Linked DNA regions of Cricetulus griseus. The protein of the gene in region 3 interacts with the protein of the main gene of each other region in a biochemical or structural test. Links are inferred from orthologs where the notes say so. Each region holds a gene or a part of one and is shown on either strand. Other genes may lie near its edges.

Evidence for each region.
Region 1: the proteins of Trim21 (region 3) and Ube2d2 form a complex in vitro, tested with the Homo sapiens proteins (10 studies listed by BioGRID). The link is inferred for Cricetulus griseus from reciprocal best matches to the Homo sapiens genes TRIM21 and UBE2D2.
Region 2: the proteins of Trim21 (region 3) and Ube2d1 form a complex in vitro, tested with the Homo sapiens proteins (3 studies listed by BioGRID). The link is inferred for Cricetulus griseus from reciprocal best matches to the Homo sapiens genes TRIM21 and UBE2D1.
Region 4: the proteins of Trim21 (region 3) and Ube2n form a complex in vitro, tested with the Homo sapiens proteins (3 studies listed by BioGRID, with this or other methods). The link is inferred for Cricetulus griseus from reciprocal best matches to the Homo sapiens genes TRIM21 and UBE2N.
Region 5: of the proteins of Trim21 (region 3) and Ikbkb, one has a biochemical effect on the other in vitro, tested with the Homo sapiens proteins (2 studies listed by BioGRID). The link is inferred for Cricetulus griseus from reciprocal best matches to the Homo sapiens genes TRIM21 and IKBKB.
Region 6: the proteins of Trim21 (region 3) and Ube2w are reported together in a solved structure, tested with the Homo sapiens proteins (2 studies listed by BioGRID, with this or other methods). The link is inferred for Cricetulus griseus from reciprocal best matches to the Homo sapiens genes TRIM21 and UBE2W.
Region 7: the proteins of Trim21 (region 3) and Sqstm1 form a complex in vitro, tested with the Homo sapiens proteins (2 studies listed by BioGRID, with this or other methods). The link is inferred for Cricetulus griseus from reciprocal best matches to the Homo sapiens genes TRIM21 and SQSTM1.

What each region holds. Positions count from the first base shown.
Region 1 is NC_048595.1:201,744,477-201,748,439, reverse strand, and holds the start of Ube2d2 (ubiquitin-conjugating enzyme E2 D2), read left to right. Parts: upstream 1-1,163; 5' UTR 1,164-1,272; coding exon 1,273-1,296; intron 1,297-3,963.
Region 2 is NW_023276806.1:266,581,901-266,585,400, forward strand, and holds part of Ube2d1 (ubiquitin-conjugating enzyme E2 D1), read left to right. Parts: intron 1-1,636; coding exon 1,637-1,714; intron 1,715-2,890; coding exon 2,891-2,996; intron 2,997-3,500.
Region 3 is NC_048596.1:96,819,911-96,824,181, reverse strand, and holds the start of Trim21 (E3 ubiquitin-protein ligase TRIM21), read right to left. Parts: upstream 2,801-4,271; 5' UTR 2,668-2,800; intron 1,402-2,667; coding exon 1,006-1,401; intron 649-1,005; coding exon 553-648; intron 1-552. UniProt on the Homo sapiens protein: E3 ubiquitin-protein ligase whose activity is dependent on E2 enzymes, UBE2D1, UBE2D2, UBE2E1 and UBE2E2.
Region 4 is NW_023276806.1:161,533,208-161,536,552, reverse strand, and holds the end of Ube2n (ubiquitin-conjugating enzyme E2 N), read right to left. Parts: intron 2,459-3,345; coding exon 2,212-2,458; intron 2,048-2,211; coding exon 1,907-2,047; intron 1,321-1,906; coding exon 1,280-1,320; 3' UTR 501-1,279; downstream 1-500. UniProt on the Homo sapiens protein: The UBE2V1-UBE2N and UBE2V2-UBE2N heterodimers catalyze the synthesis of non-canonical 'Lys-63'-linked polyubiquitin chains. This type of polyubiquitination does not lead to protein degradation by the proteasome.
Region 5 is NW_023276807.1:61,017,970-61,021,469, reverse strand, and holds part of Ikbkb (inhibitor of nuclear factor kappa-B kinase subunit beta), read right to left. Parts: intron 2,539-3,500; coding exon 2,431-2,538; intron 1-2,430.
Region 6 is NC_048595.1:144,389,840-144,393,937, reverse strand, and holds the start of Ube2w (ubiquitin-conjugating enzyme E2 W), read right to left. Parts: upstream 2,801-4,098; 5' UTR 2,780-2,800; coding exon 2,678-2,779; intron 1-2,677. UniProt on the Homo sapiens protein: Accepts ubiquitin from the E1 complex and catalyzes its covalent attachment to other proteins.
Region 7 is NC_048600.1:64,663,554-64,667,053, forward strand, and holds part of Sqstm1 (sequestosome-1), read right to left. Parts: coding exon 3,315-3,500; intron 3,222-3,314; coding exon 3,080-3,221; intron 2,060-3,079; coding exon 1,979-2,059; intron 1-1,978. UniProt on the Homo sapiens protein: Molecular adapter required for selective macroautophagy (aggrephagy) by acting as a bridge between polyubiquitinated proteins and autophagosomes.

The DNA.
Region 1 (3,963 bases), on a different chromosome or scaffold from region 3:
CAGGACAGCCAGAGCTACAGAGAGAAACCCTGTCTCGAAAAACCAATAAAGGAAGGAAGGAGTTGCTTTTTACGTACAAGAATGTTATCACTGAGAAAAAAATTAGAAATTTGACACGGAGGCATTTTTCATCACATTTCAAAGAGACCTGGGCCTCCATAATGTTGTTCCTCCTCATTCTAGCATACAGAATCTGGGTGACTTGCTACAATTTTCTCTTTGGGGGATCCACCTTTGTGCTCGAAGAGAGGTGATCAACTTAGCCACCTGCTGTGTAACCTTATCAAAAAATTCTCTCCATATTTTCTTATTCTCCACGGCGTATTTCCTAAGGCTAACACGCCGGTGGCTGTGGAGAGAACATCGAGTCATGGCTTGGACGGGGCGGCCAGTCTCAAGGCTCCCTGTGCAATCTGGTAGTACTAATCCTGCCAATAAATGAAGAGTTGTGTGACCTTGGAAAAGTCCTTCTCTCTTTCAGGAAAGTAGCAGCGGGATTAGGTACTCTCTTCCGAGTCCGATGGTGACTAAACAATGTGGAAAACACGTGCCTTTAAGCGTTTATTGATCTTCGAAGCCCCAAGCGCACAGGGTACCAGATGCTGATTTGCGGCCTTGGCGGAGGAGCATCTAGAACCCGCGCGTAAACTCTCGCGAGATCTCCTCTCAGTGTCTCGCGACGTCATCCCCTCCGCGGCGTGGCTGCGCCGGCGCGTAAGGTACTCGCAGGGGCGGCCCGTATCCCTCCGCCGCCGGCCCGGCCCGGCCCTCCCTCCCAGGCCCGCCAATCCCGGAGCCTCCCGACCTGCCCCTCGGCCTGGGCCCACCCCGCGCTCTGGCGGCCCCACCCCGGCGGCGCGCCGCCCGCCGCCCGCGCGTCTCTTAGTCCACCTGCACCAGGCAGGAAAGTGAGCTTCCCCGGCTCCGTGGCCATCGGGCGCTCTGCGAGCTCGCAGCTTGGGGCTCTTCCTCCCCGGCGGAGGGATCCACGGCGGCCGAGGAGGCGGCGCTGAGCCTACGAGGAAGAGGCAGCTACGGCGGCTGTGGCAGCAGCGCATAAAGGGGCCGCCGCCGGGTGATGCGGTGACCGCTGCGGCAGGCCCAGACGCTGAGTGGGCCTCGGCCCTCAGCTCGTCGGATCCGCGCTTCGGAGCTCCCGGTCTTCTCCGGCCGACTCGCGACCGCTCGGGCGGTCTCAGGCCCCCTCGCCCCGTCCCCGTCCCTCCCCCGTCCCCGTCCCCGCCCCGGGGGCCGTCGCCACCGTTTCCCACCATGGCTCTGAAGAGAATCCACAAGGTAAGAAGCGGCCCGGGTGTTGCTGGGGGAATGGGCCGCTGGGCGAGCCCGCTGAGGAGGCTGCGGCCTGCACTTCCCGCGGTCGCCTCCACTGGGCTCGCGGCGTCTGGTTCCCGCTGCCGGCGCCGGCCCCACGGGGCGGCCTTCACACCCCACTCCCAGAGATGGCGCCCGCGAAGGCTGGAGCGCGGGGACCTTGCTTAGGCCGAAGTTGCTCTGGTCCTCGCAGTTTCCTCCCCGACGCCTTTCCAGGCCCCGCTCCGGCCTGGGACTTGCTGCTCACTAGGGCTATTGTCCGGCCTGGGAAGGGACTTGGGGGGGCGCGGAGGGGGTAGCGGCTGGGGCGTTGGGCGGCCCCTGTGGTCCGAGGTCGGGAGGACTGTTGTCCAAGCTCTGTCCCCCTACTCTGGCGCCCTTCGCTGAGCTGCCCGAGATCCAGGACCTCGACAAGCCGACCAGAGGGCTCATTTGCCCGACCCACGGGCTGTTTTCTTGAGTTCACTTAACTCTTTGGCAGCTAGCTGCACCCTTCAGTCCACCTTACTGGTCTACAGACTGGAGTAGAAAGTCAGAGGGAAGAAAATGCCACTTCGGAGGGAGAAGGGAATTAAGTGGACAAGGGTTTTATTTCGTGGGGTGGGAAACTAACACTTCAGTTTTGCAGGATTGGACCTAGTGGAACAACTGTTTACCTGATAGGGTAGAAGCCAGTCAGTTCAGAAAACCGAACGTTGAAAACCGCCAGAGAAATTGCTTTCACAGACTTCTCCCAAAATGATTTTAACGCTAAAATTAGATGGTGTATTCGAGAAGACTCCTAATTTAGAAGGGATTTTACTCTATTTTTGGGTAGAAATAGTTTTAGTTGTCTTAAGTGAAAGGTTATCCATTTATTTGTTGATAAGATTTAACACTACAAGGAGAGCATAGGCTTGGCTTAAACTTTAGGGTTTCTCACCCCCCCCCCCAATCTCTTAGTGTCACTATATTTCCTTGGACGTAAGAAGTCGCCCACTGTGAGTTTTGTTTGGTGTTTTATTTGGCTCCTCAGGTGGGCCATATTAAATCTTTACCTTATTAGTAAGTGGTGGGACCTGGGATTACCCATACGGGCTGATGAGATGGGGATACAAAGAATAGAGAAGGAAGTCAAAATGCAGATTGAAAGATGGAATACCACAGTTGAGCAATTGGCCCTCTTTATTCAAGGCTTGGAATGTGGAATTAATTCCATTCCTTACTTCGAATTAGCGCCTTACCAACTTTTGGTTTCGTTGCTTTCTTAGAAATCAACGGATAGCCTTTAGCAGTATGTCTTGTACTAAGATGAAGCAGGGTCTTTGCTAAAAGAAGTATGAACTTTAGTAAAAAAAACAAAACAAAAGAAAACCCTTGAAAAACCTTGTGAGGGATAAACATCCAAGTAATGTGTGTGTATTTTTGTTTTTGTTTTTCGAGACAGGGTTTCTATGTGTGGCAGCCCTGGTTGTCCTGGAACTCTCTTTGTAGACCAAGCCGGCCTTGAACTCACAGAGATCTACCTGCCTCCTGCTAGGATTAAAGGCACCTGCCACTGCCGCTGTGGGTGTATTTCTAAGACTTCAGCAGTCATATAATATAGGGTCTTATAGAGTCTGATGGGAAGCTATTGATTTGAAATGCTGTTTGAAATATACCTATAGAAGATTGTCCTCCAAGGCTGGGAGAGAATGTGAGTTTGATGTATAATAATTTGCATCGATAGTTTTAATTTTTTTTTTTTTTTTTTTTTAGGTAGGGTCTTCCTAGCTCTGTTGGCTTGCAGCTTACTATGGTGTAGACCAGGCCGGCCTCAAACTGTTTCTGCCTTCAGAGTGCTGAGATTAAACTAGAAAATTAATGGCTTTTAGTGTTTGTATTAATATCTGCTATAGAGACTTCTTCAGAGAGGGAGATAACACTGACTCAAAACACACATTTAAATCTTTTTTGGTTTTTCGAGACAGGGTTTCTCTGTGGCTTTGGAGCCTGTCCTGGAACTAGCTCTTGTAGACCAGGCTGGTCTCAAACTCACAGAGATCCTCCTGCCTCTGCCTCCCAAGTACTGGGATTAAAGGCATGCGCCACCACCACCTGGCTATATTTAAATCTTAGATTAACATCTGCCCCTAGCAATATCTTCTGTTTTTGAGATAGGCTGTCACTGTGTAGTTCAGGGTGGTGTTGATCCTGAGTACTGGAATTCAGGCATGTACCAGCACACCTGCCACCACTAAATCTTTTTGTATAGTACTAGGGATTGAACTCAGGATCTTAACGTATGCTAAGGCAAACACTCTGCTACTGAACTACATTCCCAGTTCTTACAAATCTTTAAAAAAGAAATCGGGTTTAGAAATGATCATTTGACATTTAAAGGGGTGTGTCTGTGTGTCGGTGTCTGTGTATGTCTCAGCCATAATCCTCGAATTAGAGGATAACTTTGTGAAGTCTATTCTTTCACCTTTTCATGGGTCCTGGGGATTGAACTTTTCTTCTTCCAGACAGGGTTTCTCCTTGACTCAGACCAGGATGGCCTTGAATTCACAGATAATCTGCCTGCTTCTGCCTCTCCAGAGCTGGGCATAAAGGCATTCGCCACTACCATATGTCTGTTTTGTTTTAATAAACTTTTTTTTAAAGATTTAT
Region 2 (3,500 bases), on a different chromosome or scaffold from region 3:
AGTTGCTACACTGGGCCAACATCAGCTTGCAATGGGTCTCGTTGTGACTCTTGACTGCAGAAGTGAAGGAGTCCCGTTGTGGGTGGTCTTTGTCACCTTTTGAGTTTTCTGAGCTGCCTTAAACTGGCCCCTCTTTGTTGTCTGTATTTCTTCCTACACCTGAGGAGCATCGATGGTTTGAAACAGGCTTTTCTTTCTATGGACGAAATGCTAATTGTGAACGAGTAGGCAGATACTCTATCTACTCCAGTCTCCTTTCTGGATGAGAACACGCTAGCCTTCCTGAATGCCATACATACTTCCCCTGGGGCCGTTTATCTACTGAGTCATGCAGTTTTCAATCATTTGCCCTCGGATCCAAGCTGAAAAAAAAAAAAAAAATGCTGAATTTCAAAGAAAAGTCTCTGAGGAATTATCCTAAATGACTAAATTATTCTATTAAGTTGTTATGTGAGAGGGGAAAATGCAATATATTTACTTAACAGCTTTCCCTAAGAAGCTAGTTCCTTCTGCTTGGTGTTCATTATCTGCTTATCTGCTCTGAACCTTCCAAGTCCTGTCATCTAAAGGCATGCCTCACCGTTGGAGCTGGGGCCTCCATGGTAATTCTCAGGTGAATCATGTGTAGTAAGCAATTGTGACGTTGTTTTGCACACCTCTCTTATTTCTGGACCACAAACACATTCCACCACCCTCTATAATAGCACTTGCTGTCCGCGTTGCCCACGCTTATCTTTATAATTTGTTTCTATTTTTTTTACATTTACTACCATGCTTATCTTTGTTGTTTGTTTACTTTTTAAAACATTTACCAAACTAGAATTAAGCAACACAGTAAGAATAATTATTTAATACAGTGCTCTGATTTTTATGCAGAACTTTAAGCAGGGAAAGAATGACAAGAGTTGCTTTTATTACCCATGGTGCAGCCCAGTAAATATGAAGGAATTAAAATGGAATTTGGGGTATTTTATTTTGCTACTATTTTCTTTCCTTTAATCGTGTGTGTGTGTGTGTGTGTGTGTGTGTGTGTGTGTGTGTGTGGCCACTCAGGAGGTGACCAAACTTGAATTCCTTTGGTAAAGTTGATAATACTTAATCCAATCTACCATGAATCCTGAATTCATCCAACTTGGTTTTAGAGTTTTACATTGTACAATATAAAGTACTAGCAATTGAATATTGAGAATAAATTGTGTGTAACCTTCTTACTAAATTATTCCCTTTGGCCATATTTAAGTGGACATTGGAAATCTAAAAGAAACAAGGTAAATATTAGTCATAACCTTTAAAAAATACTGGTGACTGCTCTAGAAAGTTACCTTTCCTCACAGCAGTCCTTGTGTCTACACTGGTCCCCGTAAATGACCTGTTTGGTTAAAACCATACTGTTATATGCATGTCTGCTTCTCTTTAAACTCTGTGGGCACCTCGGAAAACTTCATTCCTGGAAAGGAGCCTGCTCTCAGGTAAATTACTCAAACATCTGGTGCAAGGATTACATTTTTTACAAGCATCAGACAGCATCGTATAGAAGATGTGACCCTCTCTTTCACACTGTCAACACCTGGGGGGGAACATTCAGTCTTGTGTACATGTTGTGGCCGGACACTGATGCGCCTGTTGTTCATTGCAGCCTGACAGTGCGTATCAAGGCGGAGTCTTCTTCCTCACTGTCCACTTCCCGACAGACTATCCCTTTAAACCACCAAAGGTATTTATTTCTGTGGCTGATGCATCCCATAGCAGGGGTTCTCACTGTTTGTCTAGAGACAGGCTCATGATATCACAGGTTAGCTAGTACAAGGTCCTTTGTACAACTTCCAGATCTAAAATACTCTTGTTTTTTGTTTGTTTGTTTGTTTGTTTTCCGAGACAGAGCTCCTCTGTGTAGCTTTGGAATTTGGAGCCTATTCTGGAGTTCGATCTGTAGGCCAGGCTGGCCTTGAACTCACAGAGCTCCTCCTGCCTCTGCCTCCTGAGTGCTGGGATTAAAGGAATGCACCACCACTGCCTGGCTAAAATACTCTTTCTTAGTCAAGTAGTTTCCTTTGCCTGTTAAACAAAAGGTTGCAGTGGCTACAAGTTAGGCTCATGGGCTTTTCCTCCTTATGAGATATGTGTAGTCTGGAATGTTTTTATAGTCTGAGAATCTATAGTCTGTGGACAGACTTTCCTGTCCACAGTGTTATCCTTCCAAAGAGGACCCTGTTTTCTCTCTTGAAGTGTTCAGTGAACATACATTGACCATCCACTACGTCCCTGCATGATGGGAACCACAAATGAAGCACACTGAATGGCAGCAGGGAATGAAAAGACATTCTCCAAGGTTTAAAGGCCAAAGAAGAAACAAGTGATGGGGGGGGGGTGTGAAGGAGGGAAAACAAACATATATTTGCTGCTATGGAAATAATTGTAGCATTTTTAAAACACTGAGTTTAAAATCCTATGGATGACATCACACAACAGTGACTCTTGTCGGAATTCAGATGCTCAGTGGGTTTTACAGGACGGGTGATCATCTCACTTCTGCTCTGACGGACTCGGTGACCTGTTTATAGATCCAGGTGGCCTGCTGGGTGTTACTCACAGGCTGGTTAAGAAGAGTATTTGGAGGTGTAATGAAAGCCAGAGCAGCTGGTCCAAGTGCCAGTCACCCCAGTGATTGCAGACATCCTCATTACACCCAAGATACGTCCCAGCACCTGGAGGAGAAAAGGAGGTTAAACTGAGTCTCCTTCAAATTCCCAATAGCGGACCTGCATGTAGATGTTTCTGTTCCAAAGCTGTGTAAAGTTGAGCACATTTCTCCCTTGAGTGGATTGGTTCTGCTTGTTCATCGCTTGTGACGATCAACCTTTTTGTTGTTGTTGTTCTGTTTTATGTGTAGATTGCTTTCACGACAAAAATCTACCACCCAAATATAAACAGTAATGGAAGTATTTGTCTTGACATCCTGCGGTCCCAGTGGTCACCAGCTTTGACTGTATCGAAAGGTAATTTCATTTATCAGATTTAAAATAGGCATGGAGAGGACTGTACAATGTCTAGGGACCAGAGTTTAAACAAAAACCGAAGTCCAGACAAACAAAACAGATGCCTCAACCCTCAGTGCTTACTATTTTTGTTTTGTTTTCTCTAGTAACTCTTCGGTCATTCTGGCTTTTAGTAAACTCTGGGATTGGGAGAAATGAGTGAATGGCCAAATCTAAACAAAAAGGGAGTTCAAGGACATCCAGAACTATTACACAGAGAAACTCTGACTCAGAAATAAAAAAAAAAAATTTTTTTTCAGCAGTGAATTTACCATAAAGTGAATAAAGGAAAGATTCTGTCTATAATTATTCAGATTACTATAGTTCTTCTTGGAATGGTGTCCCAAAATGGCTCTCATTTGCCACAAGCTGCTAAGTCCTTCTCACTTAAAGAAATGGCTGGCTGCCACGTACTCAATGACTATCAGTGGTGCTGTGGCTTTTGACTAAAAAATAATTCGTATT
Region 3 (4,271 bases):
GGGGTCTGTGATTGCTCTGAGCCCCTTACACTCCTTGTCAATTTCAGATGTATCCTTTTTTCTCCTGGCAAATTACCAATGCGACAGACTTTAATTCTTTACCAGGCTTTGCACTAATAGCCTGGTCATCATTAAGCAGCCACCGAGTCAGGTGGGCCTCCTACCTCAGACTTACATAGATCCTTTCCGGCTGTTCCCTCCCCTCTTTGTCATGTCTAAAGGGTGCAGGAGTTGGGATTTTCTCACAGGATACCTCAGACCTGTTATCACAAGACCGTCATTCACCGAGACAGGGTCAGAAGGGATGGTGTGACCTTCTTAGACTTTCTGCAGTAATTCTTGAACTTTGTGACAGATTGGGGGAAATCTCATCTGATTTTAAGCTTCCTTCCTTCTTTCTTTCTTAAATTCTTCTCTGTCTAGAGATATAGTGTGGATGGTCCTTGGGGAGTGACCTATATAACAATTCTCCCACCCCTTGGATAGGCACAGTCATAGTTAATGCTTGCTTGAGATCAAGACCTGGGACCCAGCCTATCCCCGGGTTCTTGCCTTCCAGTCTGTTCTTTGCATTGCAAGATCCATTTCCAGCTTCTCGGCGAATTCTTTCCCTTTCCTCAGTTTTTCTAAAGCCACGAGGAGCTTCTCCTGTAGAAAAAGGTGGTAGGTTAGTCCCCAGATAGAGATGTGGAAGAGGGGAATGGGAAGACTTTGGGGGAAACCTAGTATGTCTTACAAAACAGAGCGACACTGATGGGGAATGGGATCTGGTCATTACATTTCTAATTCACCAGGAAGCCAGAGGAAGCATAATCCACGCACATCCCACGGCATAGTCTCGGCTCCTGAGAAATAAGCTTGTATTTGATGCACAAGTTCCTCTCAATGAGAAACTACCCTCCATTCCCCTGTAAGGATGACTCTCAGTCACTATGCTGGGGAGCGGAGCATTCTTCATGGAGCACCTTCTTTATATCTATGGGTGTCTCTGTGCTAGAGCCTCACCTGGTATACCCGAGCAGCTTCTTCAATAGGGACCTTGGTGTGGTCAAGGTGTTTCCCAGACTGGGCACACACCCAGCAAAGGGCCTGCCCATCTTCCTCACAGAACACTAGAAGTTTCTCTCCATGCTTCATGCAGCGGTCTTCCTGGGTGTCCTTATTGGCATCCCCGGCTGTTTGTTTAAGGTCTTCTACCATGTTGGCTATACGTCGAATGGGCCTGAGGTTTCTGAGCAGAAACTGTTGCCGGCACTCGGGACATATACCGCCACCATTTTTCCCGACCTCAGAAATGCATTCCTTGCAGAAGCAATGGCCACATTCGATACTCATAGGCTCCACCATGGAGTCCAGACAGATAGAGCAGATGACATTTTCCCACATCTTTTCCAGAGCCATCTTGGAGGATTTTGAGTGCAGAGGAGGAGGGAAGAGATAAATGAAAGTTTGCATGACAAAAGCAAAAGCAAGACAATACCAAAAGTTCCCAAAACAATGCAAAGGAAAACATGTGAGAAAATGACACAGGAGAAGGAAACAAATGAAGGCAAGAGTATCAACCTGCACAACAGCAGCCTCTCCTCCCTAGTCTGACCCATTGATCTAGTCAGGCAGAAGGGGAAACTGAGTTTCCAGAAGAAACATTGGAAAGTGGCGGGGATAATGCTGTTAATAATTCCAGCTCATCATATCCATCCCTGCTTTAACCCTCAGTGTCCAGACTTCTCTCACACACTTTCTCTCATCTTGCGCCTCCATGGCGCGGAGAGTGACCATTTACCATATGCCATATTTACCAAGCACCCTCCATATTCCAACTGGGTGCTACATTGCTTATGTCCGTCTTCATTAATCTTGACAATAACTGCAGGAGTAAGGAGTCAAAGGTTTACGAAGTTATTCGTTACATGAGATATTTTGGTCAAATATGATGATGAATAATAGGCTATATCATAGGTTCATGGAAGTATACTTCAAGGTGTGTGTTCATTATGGCATCATCTAAGGGTACATTTCCCAGTCATTAGGGTTGCATGTGTATGTATTTATGTATATACATATATATACATAGCTGTTTTTTATCCTAATATGTTCTTATTTATAAAATATACTTGAGCACAAATGCATCAATGTAGGTGTGTCCACATGTTCTCCTATATGAATGTTTATGTACATATGTGAATATGTGTACTTATCCATACACATTTGTGGAGAGCAGTTGCCAGGCTTTTCTCTAAGACTATCCAAACCTAGTACCTGTCTTAACTTCCTTTAGGGCGCTGAGAGTCTTAAATCTACATAAATTTTCAGTAGAGCATTCTAAATGGCTAGTACTCACCTCCAGCAGAGGTCTTCAAGGGACAGGAGTTTCCCTGAGCTCCCCTCTGGGCTAGCTCACAGCCTGCTTTTCCCACCTTTACTAGCCCCCTCGTCTCAGCTCAGGCACCAGTCACTAAACAGCCCCTTCCAGGCAGGGCACCGGGAAAGTCACTTTCAGAGCCCCGCTTCCACAGGCCTGTGTGGGCAGCCAGCCAGGGCTGGAACTAGAGAACACTGCTGAAAAGAAGCAGCAGGTGCGCCGGCAGGTTCGGGTGGGAGTCGCAGGTGGGAAGGGGCGGAGGAGAGAGCACTCCTAGGTGGGTCGGGGATCCCAGCCTCACTCACCTTAGCAGGGTCCTCAGCATGGGCTACGGGTGAGCTCCCAGTGTGGCTTTCACAAGCCTGCTCCCTAAATTTCACTTTCAGTTTCCTCTCAGAGGCTAGTCTAGAAGGAAGCGGGAGGAGCAAGGGGAGGAGCGGAGAGTTGAACGGCTAGGGGAGGACTCAAGCAGAGAAGGCGGAGACTGGGTGGAGCGTGTGAGAGAGAGGTCAAAGGTGCTAGAAGCTGCCGACTGCTAGCCTGCTAGCCGCAGGCACAGGTGGAGGAAACTGCCTTGCTGCCTTCGTTCTCTCTGAGGCCTCCTGGTCTTATTTAACAATGTAATCTACACGATATCGATGTGTTGCCTTTGACAAGGGTCTTCACCTCACACCTGGGAGCATCTGGGAGAAGGGGTCCGGAAGGAGAGGATTCACTATCTGCTTGCTCCATCCAGTAATGGATTCCTTCTCACAAGACTGGTAGTTCTTTAAAATCTGGGGTGATCAGTCCTCCTTCTCTGCAACTGGATTTCAGTTCAGTTCAAGGTTTAGCTGTGGCTGTCTGCTTCTACTTCCACCAGCTGCTGGATGAAGGCTATAGGATGGAATACAAGTTAGTCATCAATCTCATTATCAGGGGAGGGCATTTAAGGTAGCCTCTCCTCTTTTGCTTAGATTGTTAGTTGTTGTCATCTTTGTAGCTCTCCAGACATTTCCCTAGTGCCTGATTTCTCTTTAAACCTATGTCTCCCTCTATTATATTATCTCTTATCTTGCTCTCTTCTGTTCTTCCCTCAACTCAACCTCCCTGCCAAAGGGGTCCATACCAGAATGGTAAAACCCACAGAAACAGTTGACCTGAACAAGGCAGAGCTCCTGGTCCCCAGACTGATAGCTGGGAAACCAGCATGGGATTGATCCAGAGCCCCTGAACGTGGTGTCAGTGAGGAGACCTTGGAAATCTATGGGACCTCTTGCAGTGCATCAGTACTTATTGCTACCATAGGAATGGACTTTAGGAGCCCATCCCACATGGAGGAATACTCCCTGAGCCTAGACACAAGGGGGTTGGCCCAGGCCCTATCCCAAAGAATAAGACAGACTTTGAAGACCCCCTATGAAAGGCCTCACACTCCCTTGGGAGCAGAAAGGGTATGGGATAGGTAGGGTGTTAGTTGTGGGGTGGGGGGGTGAGAGGCAGAGGGGAGGGAAAGGGACCTGGGATTGACATGTAAAATAATTTTCTTTCTAATTAAAATAAAAAGAAAAACAAAACAAAAAATAAAATCTGGGGTGAAAGATCCTGTCATTGTTTTAATTAGCATATATTAATTATACAGTGTACTTTAATTATACTCTTTTCCCATCTCTCTATCTTCCAATTTTGCTCCCCTCTTCTCAGATGGTCTGGGGTGAGAAATTTATTCCTTAGATGTCTAGGTAGGTGCTGTACCAATGAAGGGAGTTGAGATTGTGAGCATCAACTGTATTATACTTGCGCTAAAAAGCATTGGTTGAATTTTCCTTTGACATTTATTATATTTAGGAAACATAAAATATCAAATACTTTGAAATTTCTAGTCCTATTTAAGAGAGATTTTTTTTTTCAGCCAAAGGCCCACCAGGCG
Region 4 (3,345 bases), on a different chromosome or scaffold from region 3:
GAGGGATAAAAGCACAGGAAACTGAAGAGCTGATAATCCCTTGTTAAGCCTGTTGCTTGGGATTTGTTCACTGGGTCTACAAGGAGGATTCAAAACTGCCTCCACAAACCTCAACTGGTTTCCTAATGGCACAAACAATCAGGTTTTCAGACAAGAACCAAGTCATAACTTACAATCTGAGGCTCAAATGTGGACATGTGAAAGTCCCGTATAAGGACATCTACCTGTCCTTTTTATTTTGACCGTTGGGTGTGATCAACTTTCAAACATTATGGCAAGACACCAATGATCACCTAATTAAATCAGGTAACATTTATTTAAAATTTCTAGGAGGGAAAAAAAAAAAAAAAAAAAAAACAGATACTGATGCTTCATGCATGCTCCGAGCCAGTTTATAAATACTCACTCAGTAAAATCCTAACACAAATCTGCATCAATGAAACAAACTGGTGAAATTCTCCTCTTGCCAATCAATTTGTCAGATGGAGAGGACCAAAACAGAATGTTCCATCAGTTTTAATTTTAAATACGATTGTCACATTGGGAAAGTGAAATAAACACAGTAAAATAAACTGTACAAAGGCAAAGTAGAATAACAAAAAATATTTTACTAAAACATAAGATTTACAGAAGTTTCCAGACAAGCCATACAAAATGGTCACAAGCTTTTTTCTTCTTTTGGGGGTGGGGCAGAGAATCTACACTTAACAGCAAAGTCACAATGTTATTAGTGAGGGCTGTGATGTTTATTTAATGTTCCCATTTTGGTTCAGACAATCAAGCTTGTCCATCTACAGCGTCTAAAGTTAGACTTGGCTAGAGAGCATATTCTAAAAAACTGGTTAGCTGCATTTAACCACGGCAATTAGATCCCAAAAGAGAGGGAGGGGGAAAGGAGACCATAAAATTAAAATAAAACTATTTTCCCCCTAAAAAATAAAATAAAAACACCCATACCCCTGGGCAGCTAACCCTGACAACTACCTTCATTCACAGTGCTTTGTACTTAAACCATGATGGGGAAACGAATCCAAGCAGAGTCACTGCTTTTAAACATTTCACAACAACCCAGATGATACTTCTAGCCTCTGCTCATGCTTTACAACAGTGAATCAGGACAAGACATAGATTTGCTAATGTGCATGTAATCACCAAAGATGAAGATGTCTGGGCTTTTATTCTGTAATGTTTCTAAGACTGTGTCCATTAAATGCAAACAAAAAAAGGAAGAGTCTTGGCAGAACAGGAGAAGTGATGTACACTTGATGATCTGATCGACTTAAATATTATTCATGGCATATAGCCTAGTCCATGCTCTCGCTGTAGGTAAAAACAAACATGCAACTGTTAGTTAACTCAGATTTCTTTTCAAAACCATAAACAACAAATAAACACATTTTGTGGAAATGCTAAGCTACACATACCCTCCTAAATTCACAATATCTCCTATAAACTGGATCAGATCACTTTTCTGAATATCTCATTACTAAAACAGTACAGCTGATTAGAAAGAGGTCTTGGTTTTTCTAAGGTTCGCACTATTTTGACCAGAATAGATTCAAACCTTTCATAAAATTCAACAAATGGAGATGGTTGTGTCTTTCACTTCTGAATAGACAATAACGTTCCTCATTTTGTTGTAACTGTCACAGGAAGAAGTTTGTGGATTCTATACTCTACAAACTGCTATGTACTTTAAATGAACCATAAAGACAGTATAAAACAATTTCAAGTTTTCTAGTCTCTTCACACACTGCTCATAAGCAGACAGTCATTGTTAGATCCATGTAGATCTAACCCACAGTGCAAGATCTCCTTTTCTAGATTACTTTTAATCTGAGCTCATAAAAAAAAGGGGGGGGTAAAGATTGTTTAGAAAAAAAGCAGGTAAAAGAATATGAAGTACCTGTTTCTATGGCTTGGGCTTCATTGGTCTTCCACTGCTCGGCTACATCATTTGCTAACGGATCATCTGGATTAGGAGCACTTAACAAAGCCTGGATTGATAGCAGAACTGTGCGAATCTGCAGTGCTGGGGACCACTTATCTATGAAGGTAACAGGCCCAGTATGATATGATAAAGCATGAAAAACAGGCCCAGAATGGTTGAACTTCCCTCCCACACACTGGTGTTAACATGAGATTACAATATTTACATTCTAAATATGGAATGCTTAAGACAGAAAGGACACATTAAGTGACAACACTTACCTTTCAAAATATCTAAACATATTCTTCCCAACTTGTCTACATTAGGATGATAAATTTTGGTCATGAAACGTACTTTAGGTGCTGCCATTGGGTATTCTTCTGGAAGGAATAGTTCAAGTTTAAAAGTCCCTCCCTCAAAGGGGGAATCCTGGGGGCCAGCAATGACCACATGAAAATAACGGGCGTTGCTCTCATCTGGTTCTGCTTTAATGCCAGGAACTGGTTCTGCCAGCAAACGCTGGGTTTCCTACAACAGAAAAATAAACACACTTGTGAAACAAATGTCATTTCACTAAACACCAAAGTTAAAATCAGATCTTTTTTAATTAGACATAAAAGAATCTCCCAGTGATAATTTAGCTAATCAAATGTAAAACTCGAAAAATGTTTATTTGACCTCCAAATAATGCCAAAATATGGCACACAAACATCCCCTTCACAAATAATAAATGCTTTAAAAAAAAAACTGTTTATGATGGGCATGGTGGTGCATGCCTTTAATTCCAACACTTGGGAGGCAGATGAAGATGTATCTCTGTGGCTTTGAGACCAGCCTTGTCTGCACAGTGAGTTCCAGGACAGCCAGGGCTATGTAGGGAGAACCTCTCAAAAGATATAGGGATGGGTGGGTGGGTGGGTGGATGGATGATACTGACAGACAGACATAATTATATTCATGTAAAAGGAAAGAAAAATGACACCAGGATTGCTGCAATACATTCTTTGTATTCAAGGGCAAACTAGGTCTAAAATACTAGGACATCAAAATCTCTGGATGCTCAAGTCTCTTACATAAAATAGTACAGTATTTATTTGTATTTAAAGTACAGAAATCTTCCTGTATATTTCAAACCATCTCTAGATGACTTGTAGTGCCTAATACAATGTGAGTGTTACAGACGGGCGTTGGTGGCTGTAAATCCCAGCACTTGGGAGGCAGAGGCAGGTGGATCTCTGTGAGTTCGAGACCAGCCTGGTCTACAAGAGCAAGTTACAGGACAGCCTCTAAAGCCACAGAGAAACCCTGTCTCGAAAAGCCAAAAACAAACAAAAAACAATGTGAATGTTTCGTACCTAAGACACAAATTAAGCACACACTTTCCTCTCATAGGATTTTTCCACCTGCTAACTATA
Region 5 (3,500 bases), on a different chromosome or scaffold from region 3:
TTTAACTCAGCCAGGTGTTGGTGGCGCACGCCTTTAATCCCAGCACTCGGGAGGCAGAGGCAGGCGGATCTCTGTGAGTTTGAGGCCAGTCTGGTCTCCAGAGTGAGTGCCAGGATAGGCTCCAAAGCTACACAGAGAAACCCTGTCTCGAAAAACAAAAAAAAAAAAAAAAAAAAAGATTTAACTTTTCATGTAAAAATAGAAGCATACATATTTCATTAATCATATTAATATATAAATTTAATATCTATGTATTTAATATCTGTCTTTAATAAGATCTAATACTTGTCTTTAATGGTAAAACTATATACACCAAAAAATTTAAAAATGAATAAATTTCTTTATAATTTATTATCAGTAGATGTTTTATTTATATACTTTGTTTATATATACTTCATATACTTTTATATATTTATATATACTTTATATAGTCTATATTTACATATCTGGGGTAATATGAACATTTCTTGGGCACAAAGTTATCCCAAATGCAAGATTTTGTTTTTGTTTTTGTTTTTTGTTTTTTGTTTTTGAGACAGGGTCTCACTATGTAGTCCTGGATGCTGACTGTCCTGGATACTCACTATGGAGACTAGGCTGGCCTTGAGCTCACAGAGATCCTCTTGCCTCTGCCTCTCCCTCCCCAGTGCTGGGATTAAAGGTGTGCTTTATCATGCTGGGCTCCAAGCAGAAGTTTTAAGTAGCCCTGGTCTGGACCCTGAGCTGCTTGCTGATTTAAGAGCATCTAATGGATATGTACATGCCAATGTTCAAAATCCTCCTGCTGTCCCACACTAGGCTCCTGTGCTCCACCCTGCCCACTTAGGCTCCATGCTGCTTCCACACTGCCCCCTTAGGGGCAACCCCGTGTGCCTCTATAATCCTCCCTGTTGAACCAGCTCTCCTTCATCTGTCCATGTCTTCTCTAACTCTTCCCATCCCTCCTCCCTGCAACTATAGCACAGCCAATGTTACTCCACACTGCTGTAATCCATAGGGCTCCCTCCCCTGTCCCCAAATATGTGAGTAAAGTCACCAACCTGGAGTTTTCTTTTATATTATGACCCAATTCTGATTCACTAATTAAGTGCTTATATTCTAGCTCTAAGCCTAGACCACAGTGCCATTCAAACCTTAAAGGTTTGTTTGTTTAGGCCAGACAAGGAACACAAAGAGGAATAAGGTATAATCCCTACCCTTAAATGACTTCCTGTGGAATAAGACAAACTCTATGCTGAAGTGGATATACTTCAAAGTAGATATCTGTCATAGTTTCAGCTGCCAATGTCAAACCCAGGGTCACCCGGGAAAAGGGAACCTTAAATGAACTGCCTTGAAAAGGTTGGCTGGTAGCCATATCTATGAGCCATTTTCTTACTTGTTAATTGATACAGTGGGGGTTATGGGGGCTAGCCTACTGTGGGCAGTGCCATTCCCTAAACAGGGGGACCTGGGCTGTATAAGAAAGCAGGTTGAGTTGGGGGTGGCGGTACACACCTTTAATTCCAGCACTCAGGAGGCAGAGGCAAGAAGATCTTTGAGTTTAAGGACAGTCTGGTCTACAAAGTGAGTTCCAGGACAGCTAGGGCTATACACCTGAAGGGAGGGGAGGAGAGAGAGAGAGACAGAGAGAGAGAGAGACAGAGAGAGAGAGACAGAGAGAGAGACAGAGAGAGAGAGACAGAGACAGAGACAGACAGAGACAGACAGCTAGGGCTATAAACCCTGAAGGGAGGGGAGGAGAGAGAGAGAGAGAGAGAGAGAGAGAGAGAGAGAGAGAGAGAGAGAGAGAGAGAGTGCAGGCTGAGTAAGCCAGAGGGAACAAGGGAATAAGCAGTATCCTCCATGGTTCTGTTTCAGTTTCTACTCTGGGTTCCTGCTTTGAGTTCTTGTCTTAGCTTCCCTTGAAAACAATAAGATATACAAGTAAATTGCTATGTGAATTTAGCAAAGAGATGGTTTGGGAATGAAGCTCACTGGTAGAGCACTTGCACTGCATAAATGAAGACATGGATTTCATCTCCATAGCAAAAACCAACCAACCAATTAACAACAAAAAGATTCTAGGGAGACCAGATACAAGAATCCATTCTATGTCTGAAGTTGATCTGGATTGGTCAAGTGCTCAATCATAGGATGGTATTCTGTTATCCATTCAAACGTTATCAAAGGGTCTGAAGATAGCTCGGTGGTTAACAGCACTGGCTGCTCTTGCCTAGGACCTAGGTTTGGTTCCCATGATCCACACATGGCAGCTCACAACTGTCTACAACTCCAGTTTCAGGGGATCTGATCCCTCTTCTGGCTTCCACAGGTACCAGTCTCTCAAGCATATACAACTAAAACAAACAAATGTATCAGATGTCACCTCAAACCTGTATTTCTAAAGAGAAGAAAAATAAACAGGACACGAATGCCCGGTGGCCATACCTGTTAAGATTATTGGGGAAGGGTAAAGAGCTGGAAAACTTCACTGTTCCATTCAAATCTTCACTGACAACAATGTCCACTTCACTCTTCTGCCGGACTTTGGAATGCCTGTAAATGCCATTTTAAGATGTCCTTTATGTCACTCAGTGGCAAATACCCAGTTTACATCTGTAACCTCACTTTACAACTGCATACTTGTTGAAATAACGGTGAGTATGCCGACAGGTTTGTGAATGGTCTGTGTGGTTAGGGGTTTAGCTCAGCGGCAGTGAGTCCCCTTAGCATGAAATAAAACACAGTATGTGTCTGGTGCTGCCTAAACAGAGGTGAAAGGACACCTCCAGCAAGGCCACTCATCAGCTCGTGTCCCAGTTCTACAGGCAGCACTGTTGACCTCTGTCTCACCTTGATTATTGCTTTTACCCTTCTTTACCTCATCTTTACCCTCATAAAGAAGGGTAGATTATTGCATCTACCCTTCTTTAACCTCATTTTAAAAGACTTATTTTCAACTACACGTGTGTGTGGACAGACATGTGACTTCTGTGAGCTGCCTGATGTGGGTACTGAGAATCAAACCCAGGTCCTCTGGAAGAGCAGCCAGTGCTCTTAACCTCTGAGCCATCTCTCATGTTTTGGTAAAGGATAAAACCAGGGTTCTGAACTAGTGTCACTTTGTACACATCACATTTATTTGAAATGTAAAATATACACACATGTACATGGCTACATTTTTAAAATTACATCTATTTATTTGCACACATATGTGTGTGCTCATGTACATGTATGCACACCCTCCTCTCTGTGGCATGCATGCCTGGGGCATCAGAGGACAACTTAAGGGAACTGGTTCTCTCCTCCTACGGCTGGGGCTCCAGAGACAGAACTCAGGTTGTCAAGCTTGGTGACATGTGCCTCTACCAATTAGCTACCAAGTAAGGTAAGGGAGGCCCACACTTCCCTTTACAAGTATGTGGCTAAGCATTTTTTCTAGAATAAATGATCTTCATATTTCCCAATGGAGGGACTTTCCAAAGGTATTTGAGGGAGTGCTGGAAAGGGAAAAATTG
Region 6 (4,098 bases), on a different chromosome or scaffold from region 3:
AGCAAAAAAGATAAAAAAACACATAAAAACAATCTGGACAGTGGTGGCACACACCTTTAGTCCCAGCACCTGTGAGGCAGAGGCAGGCAGACAGCTGAGTTAAGAGGACAGCCTGGCCTACAGAGTGAGTTCCAGAACAGCCAAACCAAAAAGATGATTGACTGATAGACAGACAGACAGACAGATAATTATAACCTCAGCTTTAAATTTCATATCCTCTAGTAAGAAACTGAAAGACCGCCCTAACTTGATTTTATTGCATATAAAAATTATTCCATTGCTATCAAGTGATCAAATCCCACATTACATGTGCACAGTATGGCTTGTTTTTAAAATACAGCTCCGACTGCAGCATAAGTAATCTCTTCTTCAGCAATAATAATAACCCCCTGTAGTAAGATATGGAAATCTTATCTAAAAATACTTGCTGAGTTAATGAACACCTTTGATTACTTACATTGTTGTGTTTGTTTTGAAAAGAGCTAATTCCTGCTGTGAAAATGGTCAGGAAATAAACTTTGTACAAAGATACAGAAATAAAAAGAAAACACACCAAAGTGTCCTTCAAAGAGTCTGCTACGGAGCTGGAGAGATAACTCAGTGGTTAAGAGCAAGAACAACTCTTGCAGAGGAGCCTGGTTTGGTTCCCAGCACCACACATCTGGCAACTGGAAAGCACCTGTTACAACTCTAGCTCCAGTCAATCAGAAATGGCCTACACAGACACCTGCATTCACATGCACACACCCACACCATAAAAATAAATCTTCCTCAAATGTTATTTCCCGAAAAAAATTATCAGATAATTTGAAATACATACAAAAGGCCAAGATTTAACCTTAATTGAAACAGAAAGGGTCAGTTCCCCATGCTAATCAGAAGACAAAGGAATGAAAGCCTGGTGCTAGAGTCTAAGGTAGTGATTGAGGCTCAGATCAGGCATAAAAGGCATTTTCCCCACTATTGAAGACACAGAGTGAATACCAAATATCCATCTCTCTTATATACAAACCTGCTTTTTCCAAATACTTGAAGTGTAGTAAAAGTTAACCAGCTCTCCTGCCAACGCCAAATACAATCCCAAGTGTGTGGATTTTAATCTTTATTTTTAGTCTTAAATCATGCCTGTTATCTTAAGACAGCTCATCTTCGAAAGGTCATAATAAACAATGTCTTAATACCGATAAAAATGTTAAAGCAATCATATAGCCCATCTGCTGTCCAACTGGTGCTCCACAGTTCCGTTTTTGGCCTCAGATGACGAAACTTCTCTAACGTCTCTGGGGAGAGTGTAAAGTATAACGTTTCCTGAAATTGTTCTTGTTTTTGCTGCACCATTTCGTGACATCTCTTCAACTAGAAATGTTACTTGCAGTTTTATTGTTCTGCAGGAGAAGCCAGAGGGACACGCAAAGGCAAAAGCAGAGTATTTTAAGGAAAGCAGGTTGAAAGACACAGTGAAAAGGGGGGAAAATGCGCAAGAATGAAAAACATTTCCAGCACAGAGAAGCGCCAACAACGGGATCTTGCTTATTCTTCTAGAAACAAAAGCCAAAAATTCTTCTAAGGAAAATGTGGTTTCTCTCTTTACTCAAGAGGGTGTAAAACTCCAAAAGGCGTTCCGCTGACTCTCTACACAAGAGTTCTACCCGCTCTCCTTATGTGCTTTAACACGCTAACCCTATCTGTACATTAAACGCCAGCTACAGATAATGCAATCTCTACAAACTACAACTGTAGTTGCCATCTTTGCCTGGGGAAAAAAAAAAAAGATTTTTTTTCTTGGATTTGGAAGGGGGAAAAAAGGAGTACATTAAGTTGGAAGGCAAGAAAACCACCATCAAGAGATTGATAGGGCACGGGTTAACAGGCACCTTCTACCAAACTAAGGTTTTAAAGGTCTGGGGAAGAAGGGCAAAGCCTTACCGAGTCCGCAAGGGTGGGGCATCCTAAGGGAAAAAAAATATATTAAGAGCGAGTTTCTCCAGAGGCCGAGGAGCAGGCCCACGAGCTCGCACCCAGGGTGGCACAGGACGCTGGGGACGCGGGCGAAGGGCGGCTTCGAAGGAGACGTGGGCTGCCGGGGAATGCCCCAGAGTGCGGGCTGACAGAAGGAGGCACCCACGGGGCACGGGATGAAGATCGAAGAAGAGCTAGCAAGGGCCGTGCGTTCCGAGGCTGCGCGTGGGAGGCCGGGCAAAGGCCGCGGAGGGCCGTGGGCAAGCGGCCGTCCTCGGCGAGGCGCTCCCCGGCTGCCCCGCGTTCTGCCAGTCTCGGGCCGCTCGGACCGCGGGCGACGGCGGCGGGCACAGCTGTTTCCACCCCGCCGGGGAGCGCAGGGGGAGGGGAGAGAGGAAAGCATCTCCCCCGTGGCCTGGGAGCCAAGCAGCGGCCGTCCTCGAGCGGGGGCGCGGAGCGGAGCCCCCACCGCGGAGCGCACGCCGAACTTCGCCCTTTCTTCCCCTCAGCCGCCTTTATGCCACAACTTCGCGGCCGCGACTGTCCGCGGCCACCGGCCGACACCCCCGCTCCGCTCGCCGACCGGTGATCCCCGACGCTCTGGGGTCAGGGAAGGCCACCGGGAGCCTGGGCCGCGGCCCCGGACGCCGCCCCCGCGCCGACGCTCGCCCCGTCTCGGCGGCCCCCACGCCCGCCCCGCTGCAGCAGCTCCGCTCACCTGCATTGACGCCATGATGAAACCATCCCCCCAAGGCCAGCGAGGCCAGAGACGCAGGGGGCGGAGCCGCCGTGCTCGCGTCACGCCGCGGGGGCCCAACATCCCGGGCACGGGGTGGAGTCGCCGATGGGAAGGGGCCGGCACGTCCGATTGGCTGTGGCGCGGGCGCCCGGGGGCGTGACGGGGCGGGGCGTGGTGGGGCGGGGCGGGGCGCCTTGGGTACCTCTCATCCCAGCCAGTTTACACGCTGGCCCACCCTCGCTACTGGGTGAGGCGCAGCTCAGGTTCGAACCGCAGCAGTACTCCCTAGATCATGAAGCTGTCTGGATGCGCGAATTTTTTGGTTGTTTTTATTTTCTTTTGGTCTCATTCTGTTTTCCTAGCTACAGGTGTAAGATTTGTAGTTTTTTAAATTTATTTTTTAATCCCCCTTTGTATGCCTTTTCTACACCTACAGCTCTTCTTCTGAGCCAGATAAAACTTCGCGGGGGGGGGGGAGGTGCTCTCTAGTCTTTGCAGATCCAGGAGGCTATTTCTAATTTGGGGGTTGGGGGGAGGAACAGAGAGTCACAAATTTCCTTATAGAACAGAATGAAAACTGAGAGCAGGGCAACGCTGTCATCTTAAAGGCAAGAGCAACTAGATTTTTTGTGCTGAAATGTAGTGGGAAGGGAAGGAGAAAGAATAATGTTTTCTTTTGTGTGAGATTTTCTAGCTTCCTTACCCAACCATCTAAATTGCAAACTCCATGTGTATCATAGTAGTCGTTGTTACATCAGTCTATTTGATTAGCGATTTGACTCTAGCCACAAATTCTCATATATTAGCTCACGTTGTGCCATGTCTACATTTCTCTTCAGCCAATTCTGTGGTGGGCAGTTTTGTGATCAGCCAACCTATGAATGAGTTTGGGCAGGAAACACTGAGCATACAGAATTTATTCTAGGCATGCACCAGTTCTGCCAACATTTATCAGAAGTCACATTTTTAAAGCTCTTCCAGAACCAAAGATGTCTTTTGGTTTATAAAAGAAAAAATGGAAGGCTAAAGCTTGCACCTCCTGTCCTATCTCTAAAAGAGTCAAGGAGGCTGGCATGTCGAGTAGATAGATGGCTTTTGCTTTACCCGAAAGTTTAAATCTTTCTTTTTATTGACTTGCCTTCTTTTTTAGACATTTCTCTACGATAGATATAAATATAATGGCAATGTAGAATATCACTCTTCACACTTAAGATAGATCACGATGTTCTCTGGGAACATCCGCAAGGAAATGTGTTCACAAAAGGAAAAAGATCTTTAAAATATGCAGTTATTCTATGGCATAATGTTAACACAGTTTATCTTTACCAAAGAGAAACCTTTTTTGGTATTCTTCCCTCTCTAAGATGTCACCCTATTACCAGAAATGGTTTTTTCCCCTT
Region 7 (3,500 bases), on a different chromosome or scaffold from region 3:
AGAAAAAGGGAAGGAAAACTCCCATGACTTCCATAAAAGTTGAAGCCAATCAATCCTCAGCTCAAACTACTCAGTCTTTTTCTAGAAACTCTGCCGTCCTGTCCAGCTCCAGATAGTCTACTACTTAGCAACTCAACATACTTCAAAGGTCTTTATCCTCCCAGATGTCCTCAAACACTGCAAAATAATGCCTATTCTCCCAAACAAAGACCCCAGTCAGTGGTCCTGGTACACCAGCCACCAGCATTGCTTGCTGTTAGCTAGTGAGACCCAGAACAATCTGGGAAGCATCCCACAGAAGTCAAAAGCATCATCATGACCAAGGATGGGCTAGGAATTGAGACTGCTGAATCCCTACTCTCTCATCTGTCTACTGAAGGACTCTCACTTTTCAAAGTGACCAGGTTTTCACATGCCAAAATACACACTCTCAGGACTAGAGACATGTTTCAGTGGGTAAGAGCAATTGCTGCTCTTGCTAAGGGCCCACAGTTTGGTTCCCAGCACCCACATCAGGCAGCTCACCACTGCCTACAACTCCAGCTCCAGAGGGTCTCAATACTCTCTTCTAGCTCCCTTGGGCACTAAGAATGCAAATGCCTGCATGAGTGTGCACACACACATTAACTTAACAAACACATTCCAAAGCAACCCTTGCTGGGGATCCTTGTCTCCATCACACAAAAGGACTACCATACATTGACATGTCTTCCAGAGAAGCTGCTAGCAGCCTCTAAAAGTTCACCTTTGGATGAAGACAATCTTTCACAACTGAACTACAATCTTCCAGAACCCCACTATATCCCAAAGTGAGCTCTTTTTCTCCCTGCTACAATCCGATTGCTGCTGTACCACTTCAACCTCCTTGGAAAGCAACGAGCCTGGCTCTCTCAAAAGCCTCTTACTGCAATGCCAAAACCATGTGGTCTGACCAAACTGCTTTGTCTGTACTTGCTTTTTTTGTGTGCAAAGAACTGCAGTCTAACACTCTACCACAGAGCTATACCACATCTCAACCTAAGATGTTCAACTTAACCGAAAGGCCAGGATGTCACTGTTGCCTCACAGCTGCATCCTGGAACAGCATGAGCAGAGATGGCCTTGGCTTGCAGCAAGTGGTGGTGATACCTAGTAGCTAAAAAGGAGGAGAGACTGGTGGGGTTGGGACACCCCCCTCATCAGCATTCCTTCAGTACTGGGCATGGCCTTTGCACAGACTCCTGCGGTCACCTCCCAACACTGCAGACACAGGAACAGGATGTGGGCAAGCACTTCCTAAACCAAACCAGTATGCCCCAAAGACAGTACATAGGGCCACAGTATTGAGAGGTGACACTGTGCTCCCCCACCCCAACAGACTTCCTCTGCCCTCTGCAGAGCTAGGCATGACCCAGAGCACTTGCTGCTAGCACCTTCTCCCTGCTCTCACAAAGATTTGAGGTTCTCAAATGAGAGGGAAAAGAAATCCCAGCACTTGGCAGGCCAAGGAAGGAGGAATTCTATAAGTTCAAGGCCGGCCTGGACTACATAAAGTTCTTGGCCAACCTGGGCTAACATGAAACCTTGCCTTAAAAAAAAAAAAGAAAGAAAGAAAGAAAGAAAGAGAGGAAAAGAAAAGGGAAAGGAAAAGGAAAAGGAAAAAGAAATGAACTGCTTGCTTTTAAGGCTAAAACTGACTCTGCTCAGAAAAAGGCAAGCTGTTGTTACCCCAAAGGCTAGCCCATTTGCCAATATAGCACCCTCCCCACTGGCTCATTCTATTTTGTGTGGAAAGCTCAAGAATTAGTCATAAATTCAACCTTGAGGCTCCATTCCAGTCCTCAGCAAAGGTTAATTTTACGCAACAACCTTGCTGGTGTCAAGCGCACATCTGCCCTGGCCTCTGCAGTGTGCCAGAAAAGGTTGCCAAAAGGCCATTTGTACACTGAGTCACCAAGCCACTGGGGTGTCGTGCAGGATGACCAGGAAGCTCACTCACCTAGAGGGCTGAGAGCAGCTGCCACACTCTCCCCCACGCTCTTCAGGAAATTGACACTGGGATCCTCTGACGGACCAGAAGCTGTTGAGTTTTACAAAAAGAAAGATGACCTTTCTGTGACTCTGCCATCTATCACAGAACTTTTGTGTCAAGGTCCCCATCACCTAGATAATCACTGTCCTGAGACCCCTTGACCGCACTTGGTGCTTCTCTTCCTTTCCACACTGCACCCTTGGTTCCCCAGTGGATCACATGTTAGGTCTCTCTGGCCTCTGTACCAGAGGCTCAGTACAGCTAATATATAAATATTGACCTTGTCCTAGATATGCTGTTTACTCAGAATCAAACAAATATTCCAGCTGGCTATTCTGGAACATGTCTGCAATCCAAGCACTCATTGAGGTTGAGGCAGGAGAATCTCAAGTTAAAGGCCATCTTGGGCTACATAGTGAGGGCCACAAAGAGACCTTGTCTCAAGAAAAAAAGAAAAATCAAGACGCTGAATCCCAAATCTAGACTGCAGAGCTAGGTGAGTTCTTGCAGGTTTTGGAGACAGGGTCTTATGCCAAGGTTGGTCTTGAATTCCTGATCATTCTGCCTCTGCCTCCTGAGTCCTGAGATTTTATATGCCACCACAAATGGCTTTATAACAATAGTTCTTTGGTTTTGTCTTTTAAAGATTTGAGCAACTTTGGCCCTGATATTCCCAAAACTAGAAACACAGCTACCTACTCATACCTCAGATGGGCAGCCTAGCAGGCAGGGTAGGTAGGGTGGGCCCTGTAGGGAAAATAGTGGCCTTAGGCACTCAGACACCTGTTTACTCACTTGTAAAATGGAAATGCATTGTGTCTACAGGGTTCTGAAGAGGCTCTGATAACATGGATAAGGACAGAGTGTAGCAGAATGATGGAACCCGTATGTATTATGTGCAAGGTCCCCTATATCCCCCAAAAAACAACAAAAAAGAAAGGGATGTGTAGTGCACAGCTTACTGTGGGCAACGCTGGACTTTAGGCTATGGGGACGACTTGGCCAACGGCCCACCTGAGTTGGCTGGCTACTTATGACACCCAAAGTCATTTCAAATACCAGCCTTACCTGACTCAGCTGTGGGGCAAGGGCGAGCATCCCCTGCTCTAGGAGGACGTGGGCTCCAGTTCCCCGGTGGACCCATCTCCCAACCAGGCCAACCAAAATGTCCATGCTTCAGCTTCCGAAGCCAGCGGCCATGAGAGAAGCCCTGGGCAGGAGAAAACAAGGCAGGGCAGTGAGGGGTAAGGGTTTTCAGGTCCCACTACCCTGTAGCCCCCAGGACTTCAAAGAACCAGCTCACATCAGAGAGGTGGCCAAAGGGGTTAGGAAAGATGAGCTTGCTGTGCTCCCTGTGTAGGCCCTTCCCCTCGCAGACACTGCACAGGTCGTAGTCTGGGCACACACTGCACTTGTAGCGAGTTCCCACCACAGGCCCGTTGCAACCATCACAAATCACATTGGGGTGCACCATGCTTCGGGATGCCTC